Nothobranchius furzeri: one gene and its partners. The protein of the gene in region 4 purifies or fractionates together with the protein of the main gene of each other region. This does not show direct contact. Links are inferred from orthologs where the notes say so. Each region holds a gene or a part of one and is shown on either strand. Other genes may lie near its edges.

Region 1 (4,134 bases), on a different chromosome or scaffold from region 4:
CGACAACGTTTCAAGCGAAAAAAAACTGGTTTACTGCTAAAAAATATGAAATAAAACAACAAAATTATCAGGCTGAAGTATATAAAAGGCTCAATAATATGCATTATGGTTTCGTCCATCATGAACAGCCCCCCTCCTTCCACTCTCACTGAGACTTCTTTGCTTCGTTCAAAAGAGCCAGTCTTTTGAGCGGCCCTTTGAAGACGTAATTATTTTTATTTTTATGAGCTTTACTATCTATTTGTGGTATAACGGTTTGTGACTAAATGCATTATGGGATACTTTTCTGGTCCAAGTCCAAAGATGGATACTTTATTGTAATGGGTGAAGGACGAACACATCCAGGAACTTTGAGCGTACTTGCCATGATGCGTACTTGGTATTGGAACAGTACACGGGCTAACGCCAATGACATTTCACAATTAATATAGTACACACGTTTAAACAAGTACTCATATTGCAAAACAGCCTATAACTTGTTTTTTTTAATTAGTCTAAACCTTTCTCTTTCTGTGGTCTTTGGTGATTGCCAAGCAACACTTCCTAACCAGGAAGCAACTTGGTTCGCTCCCTGCTAGCCAAACTATCTCTAAGTATCATGACAGTGCTATACTTTCTCATATTTATGCCATAATGTCAAATTATTTCTTTATTATGTGACAAATATTATGAAGGTTAAAAGAAGGCGATTGTGTTTATGAACACCGGGTTTTAGTGAATCAGCTTGTGAAATATGTGTTGCATTATTTGGTTTGTGTTGTGAAATTCTGTTCTCGTTTTAGGGGCCAAAAAAAGAAAATGTAATAAGTGTATTTGAGCAGGTTTAATGAGTGAGCCTGGAGGTCTTTAATTTTGTTTATTTTTAAGGTTTACTTTTTAAAATAAAGTTCAGTAGATGTATTTTTCTTCACAAGCCATTAATTATTCTCAGCTCTTTCAGTTATTTTAATGACTATTATCTATGAAGGCTCCCTTACTGATGCTTATTTTAAATTCATTTTATAAACAGCTTTGGCAACAGTTTTATTTTTTGTCTTTGGTGCATGATGTTAGTTTCTATTTTTAATGTGTGTTTTATATATATATATATATATATATATAAAAAATAGTTACTTTCTAAAATTTTTGAGACCCTAAATGTGTGTATTTTCTATGAACACTTTGTATTCCATGTTTATACCTTTAGTATATTTATATGTATATGAAATAAATCAAATAATAAAAATAATTGTGGCTTTGTTTTGAATTTGTTGTTAATGGTTAAGTGCCATACAACTAAAAATATCCCAGAAAAAACTATCAAATCAATTCAAATGAAACTTAGTGATTTTGATTGCCTTTCAAGTTTTTAATTAACATTCATTTATTTGCTGTCTTTTTTTGTTTAGGAATGTCTGGGTCTTTAGTGTAATCAGAGTATAACAATTTTTTATGTAACTACAAAAACAGAAGAATTAGTTTATTTTTACTTTAATTTATTTGATCTTATTTTATTTTGTTGGGTTTTACCGGAAGAGGCGGGCCTTCCCTTCACAACGCTCTCCCAGCGTTGGTCATTCAACATGGCAGCGGGACCAATTTCAGAAAGAAACCAAGGTAATTTCATTGTTTAAATGGTTTAACGCTTACACCTTCATTATTTAGCGATATCTCTTGATTTATAACAATTGAAATTCTTATCCGCTCTTTCCCACCAATGTTAGCTGTCTAATTAGCCCGTGTTTTGGGGGTAAATGCGTACTCAAACACATGGAAGTCTCCGGTCTCGTTAGCCTAGCTTCTAGCTAAGTTAGCCGTTTTTTGTTTATTTTAATTGTATTACTTAATGCTTGTATTACTTAATGCTTGACTTCACGATAGCATACGGGAGTTTTATGTTGTTTATTTGAAATGCAGAGATTATTCCAAGTCAGGACTAGAACCACTAAACAACTAAAGTTAGCCTTAAAAACTCGCGACATTAGCATGTAGCAATGCTCACCTATCAATGTAAACACCGTTTTCCTTAATAGGTATTTTCTTGTGTTTCCAGATGCCACCGTGTATGTCGGTGGTTTGGATGAGAAGGTGTCAGAGCCGTTGCTATGGGAGCTTTTTCTGCAGGCTGGCCCTGTTGTCAACACACACATGCCCAAAGATCGGGTCACAGGTCAACATCAAGGTGAGAATCAGGCTATTCAAGATGGGATGAAAGTCCTAAAATTCACTGTAACAATGTACATAACAAATGAAACTGTTCCACTCAGGTTATGGATTTGTGGAGTTCCTCAGTGAGGAAGATGCTGACTATGCCATTAAAATCATGAACATGATTAAGCTCTACGGCAAACCGATTCGCGTGAATAAGGCCTCCGCCCACAACAAAAACCTGGATGTTGGCGCTAATATCTTCATCGGGAACTTGGACCCGGAGATCGATGAAAAACTGCTCTACGACACGTTCAGTGCTTTTGGCGTTATTCTACAAACTCCAAAGATCATGCGAGACCCAGACACCGGCAACTCCAAGGGTTACGCCTTCATCAACTTTGCCAGCTTTGATGCGTCCGACGCCGCCATCGAGGCCATGAATGGCCAGTACCTGTGCAACCGGCCCATCACTGTGTCGTACGCGTTCAAGAAAGATTCTAAAGGAGAACGCCATGGCTCAGCGGCAGAGCGACTGCTAGCTGCACAAAACCCTCTCTCGCAGGCAGACAGGCCACATCAGCTGTTTGCAGATGCTCCGCCCCCACCATCTGCACAGACGCCACTCCTAACCGCAATGGGCCCCGGGATTCCTCTTCATGGTATGACTGCTCTAATCTTAACTGCCGATAAAGAAGTACCTTTCTACATTTATTGGGTTAATTATATAATAGTTTTGTTTTTTTTTTTGCGCAGGTTTGCCGCCTCCTGGTGCCTTTCCTCACGTTCCTCCCCCTGGATCAATGCCTCCAACGATGCCCCCTTCTATGGGCATGCCTCCATCAGCAGGGACACCAGGTCCTCCATCTTCTCTTGGTGGACCTCCAGCTGTTCCTCCACCTTTCGCACCGGCCAGCATGCCTCCAGGTATAACTCGGTTGCAGAAAAGCCTGAAAATTTAAGTCTCTGCTCCCCATTTTAGCTTTAAGAAGTCCAATAACGATTAATAAAATTGTGCAGGATCAACCTCAGTCATCTCCTTCAAATGTGAAGAAATAAAAACAATAATGTTTCAATTTAAATGTCAGGTTATTAAAATGCAGCTGTTAGCCCTGAATGAGTTATTTTTATTTGTTTGATCCGGGCCCACAGGTATGCCTCAGATGCCCATGCCGCCTGCTCCTCCTGGCATGGTGCCTCCACCTGCTCCACCAGGATCGGCTCGAGCTCCACCGCCCCCCAGCATGCCCCCACCTCCTATGGGCATGCCTCCCAGAGCACCGTATGGACCCCCCATGGGTGAGCACTGTGGCATTTTCTCAAAAATACAATTTTTTTTAAATGAAAGTTGTTTTTAACCTGTTATTTCTTTTTTTTTTTTTTTTTTTCCCAAGCCCACCCTGTGCCTCCAGGTATGAGAGGACCTCCCCCCATGCCTCCTCCCGGCTATGGTGCCGTTCCTCCTCGTCCACCTCCTTTTGGTTTCCAGAGAGCACCTCCAATGCCACCAAGACCTCCCGGTGCCCCTCCTCGGGTCCCTTGAGAGCACCAAGAGCTCCGTGATCCACGTCAGACCACAGGAACATTCAGCTTGTTGTTTTTTTAAATACATGTTTCGATCTACTGGATTTTGTTATCTTGGAAGTAATTTAACCAACTGTTTTTGATTTATGCTCATTGTACAGATAAACAGAAAATTGGCAAATAAACATTTTAGTACAACTTTTGGATATTTTTGCGTTTAATTATTACTAATAAACTTGTAATGTACCAGAAATTAGTTTATGAGTAAAAGCTGCATAATAAGCAGGTGAGAGAGTAATATGTTCTAATTTATGTCCAAAAGGTATTTATAACTTGAGGCAGGGGCCCCAGTAGGTCATATACTCTCAGGTATTATGGTTTTATTTAAAAAGTAAAGTGATATTCCCTACTGTTGGGATTAAAATCCAAAAATATTTTTAAAAGAATTTTTTTAAAATGTTTTCTTTGGACATTTATTGCTCT
Region 2 (4,279 bases), on a different chromosome or scaffold from region 4:
GCGCCAAAGCTCACCATGATCTTTCTGGAGTTCTGAAGATTCTTTTGTCGGATTTCAAACTGAGCATGAAGCAGCCACATCTTAGCAAATGTGAACTGAAAGAGAAGAGAAAGCACGTCACAGCCTGGTGGTGGTGGGGGGTTACATCATGGTGAAGTTCTAAAGACCTTCTTGTGAGGGATCAGCTCCAGACAAGCCTGGTAAACCTGCCTCGTCCTCTCCGGGTCCTGCCGACACATGTCACCGTTACACCGGTCCGTCAGCGCCCTCTGCAGGAACGCTGCAGGACCACTGACCTTGGTCTCCAGCTCCTCGTACAGAGCGTAGTTGATCCACAGGTAGATGTAGCGCCTCCAGTGTCTCTTCTCCTGCAGGGGGGGCACATTGGCAATGGCTCGTTCGTAAACCTCTCTCACCGTGTCGGCGTCCGCATCGCTCTCCACCAGCCGCAGGTAATCAAACCAGGCGTCGTAGTTGTGTGGGTTAGCCTGAAGGACGAGAAGTTGCTGAGTTTGGGCCACACAGCAGAACACCTGCCTCTGCACACCTGAGCCCAGAACCAGACTTCATCTCTGACCTCCAGACAGGTGAAGTACCTTCACTTCCTCTTCGTACTGGAACCTCCGTTTGCTGACGATCACATCTTCGATTCCTCTCCGGTCTCCAAACTTCTTTTCAAACATGGTGTAGTTCTTGAAGAGCTCCTGGGCCTGATGTTTGGGGATTCTGTCCAGTGCGTACTTGTAGATGACTCGAACACGCTCAAACTGTCCAGAACAAGAACAGAAGTAAGAGAATCCACCCAAACAAACCCATAAACAAAGTTCTGATAGCACCCACCTCCTTCTGTGTCTCCTCAAACTTGGCAAAGGCCACAAACAGGTTCTCCTCCACGTGTTCCTCCCCGAAGAACTCCACAGCCCGCTCGTACACCTTCCTGCTGTGAGCCACATATCCGTGCTTCTCCTCGAAGCGAGCGTATTTGATCCAGTTCTTCACCTCCGGGTGAACAAGGACGAGTGAAGACGAGTTAAAGAACTTCCTGTCTGTTCAAAACCACGCGCAGCCCATCAACCACCAGAACCAGGGTTAGTTAAAAACCGGGTCAGAAGGAACAGAGATGTTCTCCAGTACTCTGTAGGATCAGGTTTAAGGCATTATGGGTCTGAATCTGTAGCTGAACCGGGTCACAGATCTTTGGTGTTTTAATTCGAGTCTGACTGGACCTGTTCCGGTTGTTTTTATGGAACGTGTGTTCTAACCCCACCATTCTAGGTTCTACTGGGCTCCAGTAGAAAGGATATAGTGCTCGTAGATGGTCCGGGCTTTGTCCACCTCCTTGTAGCGCAGCTCAAAGTTGATGTAGGAGTGCCAGGCCTGTTCTTCGGGTTCCCACTCCATCCAGCGTTCAAACACCTGCCTGCAGCCAGCCACGTTCCCCAGCATCTCCTCCATGTAGGTGTACTTGTACCTGAGCAGAACATCAAAAACGTTCCAGCACACACGTGAAGGCTCTGACAGAACCCCAAGCTATAGAGTCCTACCAGAACTGGTTGACCCGTGGAAGGATGGTGATAGCTCTGTCCCAGATGTTACGAGCATGATTCACCTGGCGGCTCTTCATCTCCATTTCGGCGTACTTCAGCCACAAAGTGACATTGCGGTGATCGACGTCCAGCGCTCTTTCATAAATGGACCGGGCCCTGAACCCAGATGAACAGTGTTTAAACAACTAACCAGGTTACCTTAAACCTCTAGTTCCAGCTGTGGTGATGACCTAAATACCTCTGGATCTCCTTCAGACTTTCCTCCCACTGAGCGTACTTAATCCAGTTACTGATGATGGTCCGGTTCTTCCTGATGTTGTCTTCAAAAGCCTGAAACACAGTTAGACCAGTACCCATCAGACGTGTTGTTTACCTGTTAGACTAACCCACCCATGGAGGCTACGCTCTCTAAATCACCTTCCTCTTCCTCAGCTTGTAGTCGTTCAGCTCCTCCTTATCGGTGATCTTCTGTTTGGGTGGCGGAGGCAGAAGCTCCAGCTCCCTCTCCTTGGCCTCTCTCAGCAGCTGCTCAGCTGTGATCTGGACCTCAGCAGGAGCTTTGTTCTTCACCTGGAAAGCAACACAATAAGCTTCAGGACCACTCCTCGGTACCACTCCTGTCCTAGAACCAGAACCAGGGTCCGGTGCGATTTTACACTCTTTAAAACCAGAATTGGCCAAAAAGTCTTTCTGCGTTTTACCAGAACATTTGATCGTTTTTGAATTTACAATTTTTTTTTTGTTTTGTTTTTCTGGTTATGATCGATGAGCCGGGCCGGACCAGAACCAGTGAGCTGAAACATTCTAGGGTTGTGCTGATAAATGGCACTTCAGGTCCAGCATGGCAGAACTACTGGACCTTAGCAGTGATGCTGAGATCCCAGGTGACCGGAACATCTGGGGGAACCAAAGCTCCCACACATCCAGGAGCAGCCTCTGAGCTCCCGGTGGAGGACAGGAGCTCGTGTCTCTGGACCCGGGCCATCAGAACAGAACTCACGGGTCACTACAGCTAAACAGTAATGCGTTAGCATTAGCTTAGCCGCTCTTAGCTCCGCGCTCCGGTCCGCTTACCTTCGCCACCTTCGGTATCCGCTGTTTCCCTGCCGCCGTGGAGGCCATGCTGCCGGTGTGTCGGACCAGACGTTCTCTGTAAAATAAAAGGTCCCAAAGAAACGACTGTTTCAAAGCTTAAGCCACATAAACGTTCCGTTTGCTGCTCCAGCCACCATGACAGTACCCACAATGCTCTGCGACTTCCGGTACGTTGGTATAGCAACGGAAGTTACACAAAGGGAGAGAGTAAAAAACTCAATTTTTTGTACCACGTGACTGAAACCCTCCTAGCTGCAGACGTAGCCCCGGCCAAACACCCCCCACCCCCCACCCACCCCGACAAAACACGCCCCCCTGTTGAGATACCCCCGAGCTCAATAACGGCGGCCCTCCCAGCGAACAACACAATTGAAAGAAAATAAATATAGAAATAGTAATAATGTAATTAAACAGACAGGACTCCAGGTTTAAATATGAATGTATGGATTTTTTTGGCCATCCCCAGTGAGATTATTTTTATTTCTTGTATACACACTTCATGGCCATCCCCAGTGAGATTATAAAACACAGATACCACCAACAAATAATCAGTTGCCGTACAATAGGCACAACATACCTATGCTTACTGACGTTAGCAGGTGAGTAATGTATGTGCAAGTGTTTATTTTAAATGCAATAAAATAAAATATCAGAAAAAGTAATTAGTGGTAATCGTTTTAATTAACCCCTTAAGCCCACTGACCCCCATTTTTGGGAGCACGCCTCCTACAGCAACATTTAACTTTCAACCATTTGTTATTACAGGCACTAACAGTAGGTCTAAGTTCATACGAGTGAGTAGTTAATATTTATGTTACTATCTGTGATTTTTTTATTGCTTCTTTACAGTGAAAAGCTGCTGCTGTGTAATTTTTAGGCATATTTACATGTGTATATATGCATTTCATATATTCTGTTAACAGGAATAATTGCTGGCCCTTTCACACAAAATGTATTGATTTAGAAATTACTAAAATATTTTGCATTAAGTATACAATTCACAAGACTAGTAAACTGATATTGACCATACACTAATCTGTAAAGAATATACTGTAAACACAAAAGCAGAAAAGTTTGGCTTTAGAAAAAAAAGTTCTGACAAATGAAACAACCAGCAACAGCTTTTATTGGCCTTACAAATACCTTCCAAAAAATAATAATAATAATAAATGTCCACACATTGCTACAACCTCTTGAAAAATTCAGATGAGTCCAGAGCTTTTCTGATTTTCTCCGAGTATATGAGCAGTTCCATGGCATAGGACATCAGCTGCCTCTCACTAGTGAGACAGAGATAAATAGCAATTAGTAAAAATGACATTTACACCTAGAGGCTGTCATAACCAATGTGAAAACAATACATATAGGAATTAGCACTGTTCTTGTGTTTGTAGAATACCTCCGGGCTACCACATTGCCGTCGTGAGTTTGCTGTTTATTAGATGAGGAGTCATAAACGGTCAAATAAATAGCCTATTGTTACGTTTATTTTGGCCAAAAGGCTTGCATGTAGCCCATTAAAAATTATATAAAAAATTTGCGTCCATAACGTTTTCCCCCACTGCCAATAATGCTTAATTTTATAAAAAAGGGTTTCAGAAAAAAATTACGAAGGCGCTATCTGTCAAACTATGTCT
Region 3 (3,947 bases), on a different chromosome or scaffold from region 4:
TATTTTTCTCAATATATAACCATATTTGATAAATATCACGATAAATAACATACAACTGTTTGTATTTTAACGTCGTCCTTGTAGTTTTATAAGCTGATGATTAAACTGAAGCAAACATCTTTACTGTGAACTAAATTTACTGTGTATCTTCATTCCTTTTACCGTCCTTTTTCAATTGATTTTTCCTACTGGGAAGTTAGAATTTCTGAGGAGAAAGCGAACGCACCATTAGCTGATAACAACGGTGGCAATGGAAGCTAACATATCAAGCTAACGTTATCTTAAACAGTTTATTTAACTGCTGGAGCAGATTAAAACGATGATGCCTCACACTTAGATCGTTGTCGCTGGTTTCATCTTCACCCAGTCACCCGTCGCATTTAGTGAAGTGGACCCAAGCTTAAGCGTTCGTTCGTTCTACCATGCTGCTCTGTTTACAACTGGCTCGCAGCGACCGATGACTTAACGCTCTTGCGCATGCGCAGCTGTCTAGGCAAGTTCTCGTTGTGAAGGACGGGTACCGAAACGAGACACCGTTTCAAATTAAGTGAATCGGTGCTCGGTCGGTACTATGGAATTTGGTCGGTACCTTAAAAAGTACCGAATTCGGTACCCATCCCTAAAAGCAGCATGACGATAAAATCTCGTGTTTAAGAGCGTAGGACTTCCATGTGCAACAGGAGAAACTCCGTTTCAGTCTGTTTACCTCTTTGTCTTCTCCTGGAGGGGGGGGCACCCTCTGTTTCTGGGAGGGCAACAACGTGACACCAGGAGGAAGCGGCCCACGAGGATCCAAGATAGAAACTGAAAAAGAGTTTTGAAAAAGTGGTCATTGCTGTAGAAACTGGACTTACATGAAGTTATGTGTTTTTATTTGAAATAACACATTAGACTGACCAATGGGCAAAGACCTGGGCTGCAGCTTGGCCATCTCCTGCTGACGCTCCTGTTCCAGCAGCACAGCAGCCTGGCACACGCAGACGGGGAGACATAAATACAAGGTGAACATGTAGGAAGTGCAGATTAAAGATAAACCCCTGAGTTTAGTTAAAGCTCTGCTCTGGATTGTTGGCTTCTATTCAGCCGATTACCTGCAATTAGACAAGAAGCAGATGTATATCTAACTTGGCCACTAGGTGGGGAAAAGGCTCTTAAAATCATCACTTTGCAAAGTGAAAGGTTCATTCTGTTAGAGCAAACGGGGCCTTCAGCTCCCCTAAATATTAAACGGAACATCTTTGCCTTTTCTGCTGCTCTAGAAGGTCCTGTTCACCTCTTGTTGTAACCAGAATGAGCAAAAATCCACAATTCACAACAGGATTTTGCCTCAACTAACCCAATTAAAAAACTATTTCTGATTTATATTTTGTTGTTTCAGCGTCCCACAATCTCCCAAATGCATAATATTCTTAGCGTGTAGTGTTCTAAACCAACAACGGAACATGATGGTCTGAGGGCTTCACCTGTTTGGCTCGTTCCTCCTGTTGGAGAACCATGGCCGCCCTGTGCTGAGCCATCTTCAGCTGGTCGTCCTGCGTCAGCGCTGGAGGCAGCAGGGGTCCGTGCTCCATTCCTAAGGGTAAACCAGGAGGAGGAGGACCTCCAGCGGGCATCATGCCCATAGGCTGGAGCATTCCGATGCCAGGGGGCATTGGAGGCATGGGTAATGGGGGAAGAGAAGGTAACCCTGGCATCTGGAGGAAGAAGGAAGTAAATTAAAGGCAAACACCCACTGAGCCATGAGCTTAACTGAACCTCAGTTTTCACAAGTTTCATTTGTTTGTTTTGTGATAATGTGGTTAAACAATTAAATCTAGTCTCTCATCCACCTGTGTTGTTAAAATCTATACAGTGCAGTGATCACCATGGCGACTCTTGGTTTTATTTACTGCGTTTTTTGATGGTTGCCAGAAATATTGTGATAACACAAGAAGACATTTATGAAAAAAAACTCTAAGACCAACAGAAAAGTGTATCAGTACATTAAACAGTGACGTCACAACAATCTGATCAGTCCTTACCTGGACGCCCATTGGGTTGTCTTCATTTGGTTTGCTGAGGATAATTCCTGTCTGTAGGACAAAAACAAACGGGCAGATCCAGTAGATAAATTAGTACTAAAACAAGTTTCTTTAGGAAACAAATCGTGATGAGGAAGTGGAAAAACCAGAATCACATTTCTAAAGCGTTTACCTGCATCATGTAGCCCTTCAGTCTGTCAATCAGCTCCTCTCTGGGACCTGGATGAGAGAAAATAACTGTTAGACAACAAGGAAGTGATTCCAGGAGCGCAAGACAAATTCGAAGTTTTACTGATTCAATAAGATACAAACAGAACGCTACACTGCGTAAATGCAAAGACTTACGCTCAAAGTTAGCAAAATAAGCTAAACGTAAGATAAATACGTTTAAATAGAAGACCCAAACCAATCAAACGTTTAGCTGTTGCTTTAAACGTCACAAATCACGCAGGTAGATTCACTATGTTGTGCTCTAGTGAATGTAAACACACGTAGAGTCTGTAGTTGGCCTACTTTAATAATGCGTTACCAAACTGCTAGCTAAAGTTAACGGAAGGCTAATACCTGGTAGCTAAATTCATTGTTCGATGAGTGCCCTCCAAGTATTTCTTACCCATATTTGGTGCGCCCAGGTCAGCCAGCTTGGCTTGAAGCTCCGGATTGCTCCATGTGTTTAAAGCTGCGATTGCACCTCCTAAATCAGGCGAAAGAGAATCGCTACCCGTTACTCCGTCGGATGCCATGTTGAGCTTCTCTCAATGGAACAACGGCGGCAGCGGAAACAACGCGAGAGTGAGAAGAAGATTGGACCAATGCATTGTGGGAAACGTGCCACAACGTTAAAAAAAAAATTCTTTTAAATTGAACTTTTTCATTTACAATTAACATGGCATAAATTCCTTTGTTTTACATTACCCGGGATCAGGTGCAAAAAATAACAAAAGAGACTTTGCATAGAACGCAAGAATATTTGTGAACGAAACGAACAAACAGAAAAAAATAAATAAATAAAAAAGAGACAAAGAGCTAGGGCTTTGTTTTCAAATCATACTTTTCAAAAAGATTAAGGAGTTTCATTGCATGTTTACTTTTCATAAACTTAAGGGCTTTGGAGAAAGAAAGACACTCGTTATGAAATGCATAGAATCTGGCTTCACATTTCCATATCTACATTTGTGAATGTAAAATTTAGCTACAACGATTATGTTATTTACCAGAAAGTCCCATTCAGTGTTATCTAATATGGCACCGTAAATGACATCGTTCTCAGAAAAGGGTTCAATAGGTATCTTTGTGTATAGCCAGTCATGGATATCATTCCAGAGAGCTTCAGAGAAAATGCAGTAAAATAATAAATGAACAGAGGTTTCTTTATCATCACACCATACACACTTATTTGTTTCGAAACCACATCTCTGTCGTAAGAATTCCCCAGATGGGTGTACGTCATTTAAAACCCATGCCCAACTAAAAAACGTGTGCTGGAAGTTGGTTCATGTGGCCACGGGATGTCAGTGTTGGCACAAGAGAATTTATTAACAAAAGCGAAACTTTTTAGTTTCATTTTTGAAATTTGGTTCACGAATTACAAAATTTAAAAGTAAAATGTAATCAAAGTACAGCTTTTTTTCTTAATGGTCATCTTGCACCAAGAAGGTTGCTGGCTTAAATCTCAGCTGTGCGCATTAGATGTGGAGTTTTAATTGTCGTATTGTGCATGCACTTGAGCAATACTTTGTCAAGAAGACACGAACCTGGTGCCCAAGTGCTGGTGAGCAAACTGCCTCTCCTCCCCTTTCGGTCAGCTCATAGGTCCCCGGAGCATAGAAAAAAACGAATACAAGTGAACAAGGCTATAAAATCTATTTTCTAATCTGCTTTGCCTTACGCCCTGAAATGCACATTTTTGTACTTCAATTCAAATGA
Region 4 (2,583 bases):
TCATCAGTCAGCGTGGGCCAGATGTGATGGGGCTCAGTGATGGTGGTCTTATCAGGCTTCAGAATGACCTTGGCGCGGTCATTATTGACGTGGAGGGCTCTGAGGATCAGGATGAGACGGGAGAAGGCCTGCAAGCAGAGACAACAACTATTTACAGGGGAAGTGAGTGGATGTTACCAAAAGTAACTACAACTCAAAAAAGTGTTTGATCAGCTTCAGTCCCAATTTAAATCTGCTCTGTGCTCCATTAGAAAGAGAATCTCACGGTGTAGGACGAGATGGTCTTCAGCCAATCATCATAGAGATTAAACAGGACCATCTGTGGTTCTGTCGCCTTCAAGATCAGGTCTCCAAACTTCTCCACCTTCAGACAGGCCTGGAAAGGCAGCTGCAGCTCTGAGCCTTTGATCACGATGTTGGGGAAGTCAAGCAAGTGGACCTAAACAGAAATCAAATAACTTTAAGAAGCATTTTAGAGTAGATTCGATTTTTAAGATGATCCTGTAAAGTTTAGAAATGTTGAAGCAGCAGTAACCATCACATCCTCTCACCTCCAGAGGGTCCAGCATGCCCTTCCTGGTTACGATGATCTGCTTGGGCTGCTCCTCCACAGGGAGGGAGCGAATCAGGGCAGCAACTTCTTCAGCCGTTTTCCATTTGGCCAGCTACATAAATAACAGGTTAAACATGTTCAACTAAAACAGAATACCACTAAAATCTAAGTTTCTTGTAAAGAATAATTTTACCAGACAAATATAAACAGAAGCAAATTTTAAAGAGCAGAGCAGGACATTTTCATACCTGTCCCAGACGTTTCTGTCCAGCCCACACAGACGTGTGAATGATCTTGAGGAAGAGTTGTCCAGTTCTGGGGTTGAAGATGAAAATGGCTCCATTGATGGGTTTTGTGGTCAAGTTTCCCTCAAAGGTCTGAGCACACGAAGCATAAATTTGATATGATGATAGCGATTTTTTCCTTCTGCGCGTTTCTGAGCAGAAGCACCATTTTGACGCCCACCTGAAAAACCAACGCTCACCTTGTGAATGGTGACTCTGTAGACATTGGTGTCATCCACAAACCAGATGATCTGGTTGGAGAAGAGCTCGCCGTAGTTCTGCGAGGACAGGTAAGGCTCCGTGGGCTCTGAGGAGTAGAGCTGCAGACCTTTGCGGATGCGCTCTCGGAGCACATACAGAGCAGGGTTGGCCTTCATGATCTTGGCCATGGCCTGCTGGATCAGAGGCTTGCTTCCTGGAAACCAGTTACCATACGCGCTACAGAAAAACGAATAAAACCAAAAACATACAGTTCAGAACTCCAAATAAATCAACTGGCTGATGGAGCATGGACAGGAATTTAGGAAGCTTGTGTGGAGACTTCAAGGGCGACTGAGGAGCATTTACAAGCAGATGTAAAAATCCAGGAAACACTTCCGGCAGCCTTTTAAGATTTGAACTTCAGTTCATCTGTCATTTAACTACATCATGTGAAGTTATGGTGGAAATAAATGCAATAGTCACTTCATAATGACCCTAATAATACAAACTTAACTGATGAAAACAAGCCACACCTGTGAAGGTTGTAAGCCAGGTCGATAGCGATGAGCACTCCAGTGGGAGAGGGGTAGATACTCATGTTGTCCGTGGTGTAGTCCAGGAATTTGGCTCTGGCGTAGCGCTCAATGTCATGAGAGTCGTAGTCTCCCCATCGGAGCTGGATATCAATCCAGTATTTCTGTGTGGTGGTGCTGTCCATCACATCCCTGAGAGAGGAGGTATGCTTTTATTTCACACAAAATTAGACAAAACCATCTTCACATGTAAACTAACGTGTGAACAAACTGTATTAGTGTCATTTCTAACCTTAACATCTTTTCTGTAACAACAGTCTCAGAGACAAACATTTTAAATGTCCTACTTTGAGTCGGCGAGCAGAGACGGTCGGGAGACGTTCCACTTGTATGACGCAAAGAGGAGGATGTCTGCACAGGACGAGTTCATCTTGTAGGACTTTCTGGGATGGATGGTCTCCTTCTGCACCGTCTCAATCTCCAAAGCATCCAGCTCCTGGTCAAACACCTGCCAACCAGAAACATAACATTTACCCAATCTATCGGAACACACGACTCTCTCCGTGCGAGTTTATGGATCAGAGCCTACCTGACAGAGATCCATGACGATGCTCTCATGGATCTTCTGCCACAGGTGAGCCCTGAAGATCTGAATGAGGGAGATCTTCAGAGTGGGAATCTTGCCGTGCATGAAGATTCCCGTCAAGTCAAGCTGTACCTGGAAACCCACATACACCTGCAGAGGAAGGGAAAATATTCTGTAAATGGTTCTTAAATGATTGTTCCAACTGCTGATGTTTATACTAACGTTGGCCCGGTTGATGGTGGGCGACCACCAGAGAGTGAAGCGACGGTTGGGGATCTGGTTGAGACCAGACCTCTGAGCGTTGGTCAGCTTCTTCCATTTCATGGACTCTTCAAAGCCACTGGCCTTTTCCCTAATCGCCAGAGAAATAATAATAAAAAATCAAAAACGGTACAAAATAACAGAAAACAAAAAAACGACCATTTC

The links. Proteins that work in one complex are often made in the same cells at the same time.
Region 1: the proteins of prpf8 (region 4) and sf3b4 purify together in Homo sapiens (affinity purification with mass spectrometry; 4 studies listed by BioGRID and IntAct, with this or other methods). This does not show direct contact. The link is inferred for Nothobranchius furzeri from reciprocal best matches to the Homo sapiens genes PRPF8 and SF3B4.
Region 2: the proteins of prpf8 (region 4) and crnkl1 fractionate together in Homo sapiens (co-fractionation; 3 studies listed by BioGRID, with this or other methods). This does not show direct contact. The link is inferred for Nothobranchius furzeri from reciprocal best matches to the Homo sapiens genes PRPF8 and CRNKL1.
Region 3: the proteins of prpf8 (region 4) and sf3b2 purify together in Homo sapiens (affinity purification with mass spectrometry; 3 studies listed by BioGRID and IntAct, with this or other methods). This does not show direct contact. The link is inferred for Nothobranchius furzeri from reciprocal best matches to the Homo sapiens genes PRPF8 and SF3B2.

The regions. Positions count from the first base shown.
Region 1 is NC_091759.1:1,629,996-1,634,129, forward strand, and holds sf3b4 (splicing factor 3B subunit 4), read left to right. Parts: upstream 1-1,327; 5' UTR 1,328-1,562; coding exon 1,563-1,596; intron 1,597-2,032; coding exon 2,033-2,161; intron 2,162-2,246; coding exon 2,247-2,789; intron 2,790-2,883; coding exon 2,884-3,054; intron 3,055-3,279; coding exon 3,280-3,426; intron 3,427-3,521; coding exon 3,522-3,670; 3' UTR 3,671-3,849; downstream 3,850-4,134. UniProt on the Homo sapiens protein: Component of the 17S U2 SnRNP complex of the spliceosome, a large ribonucleoprotein complex that removes introns from transcribed pre-mRNAs.
Region 2 is NC_091742.1:17,433,295-17,437,573, forward strand, and holds the start of crnkl1 (crooked neck-like protein 1), read right to left. Parts: upstream 2,808-4,279; 5' UTR 2,670-2,807; coding exon 2,622-2,669; intron 2,118-2,621; coding exon 1,965-2,117; intron 1,878-1,964; coding exon 1,786-1,877; intron 1,704-1,785; coding exon 1,545-1,703; intron 1,472-1,544; coding exon 1,305-1,471; intron 1,020-1,304; coding exon 841-1,019; intron 768-840; coding exon 597-767; intron 489-596; coding exon 297-488; intron 228-296; coding exon 168-227; intron 96-167; coding exon 15-95; intron 1-14. UniProt on the Homo sapiens protein: Involved in pre-mRNA splicing process. As a component of the minor spliceosome, involved in the splicing of U12-type introns in pre-mRNAs.
Region 3 is NC_091742.1:75,394,446-75,398,392, forward strand, and holds the start of sf3b2 (splicing factor 3B subunit 2), read right to left. Parts: upstream 2,808-3,947; 5' UTR 2,765-2,807; coding exon 2,635-2,764; intron 2,241-2,634; coding exon 2,194-2,240; intron 2,073-2,193; coding exon 2,022-2,072; intron 1,695-2,021; coding exon 1,464-1,694; intron 968-1,463; coding exon 898-967; intron 805-897; coding exon 707-804; intron 1-706. UniProt on the Homo sapiens protein: Component of the 17S U2 SnRNP complex of the spliceosome, a large ribonucleoprotein complex that removes introns from transcribed pre-mRNAs.
Region 4 is NC_091753.1:37,698,031-37,700,613, forward strand, and holds part of prpf8 (pre-mRNA-processing-splicing factor 8), read right to left. Parts: intron 2,510-2,583; coding exon 2,380-2,509; intron 2,308-2,379; coding exon 2,161-2,307; intron 2,080-2,160; coding exon 1,919-2,079; intron 1,764-1,918; coding exon 1,572-1,763; intron 1,276-1,571; coding exon 1,038-1,275; intron 931-1,037; coding exon 802-930; intron 666-801; coding exon 552-665; intron 440-551; coding exon 266-439; intron 129-265; coding exon 1-128. UniProt on the Homo sapiens protein: Plays a role in pre-mRNA splicing as core component of precatalytic, catalytic and postcatalytic spliceosomal complexes, both of the predominant U2-type spliceosome and the minor U12-type spliceosome.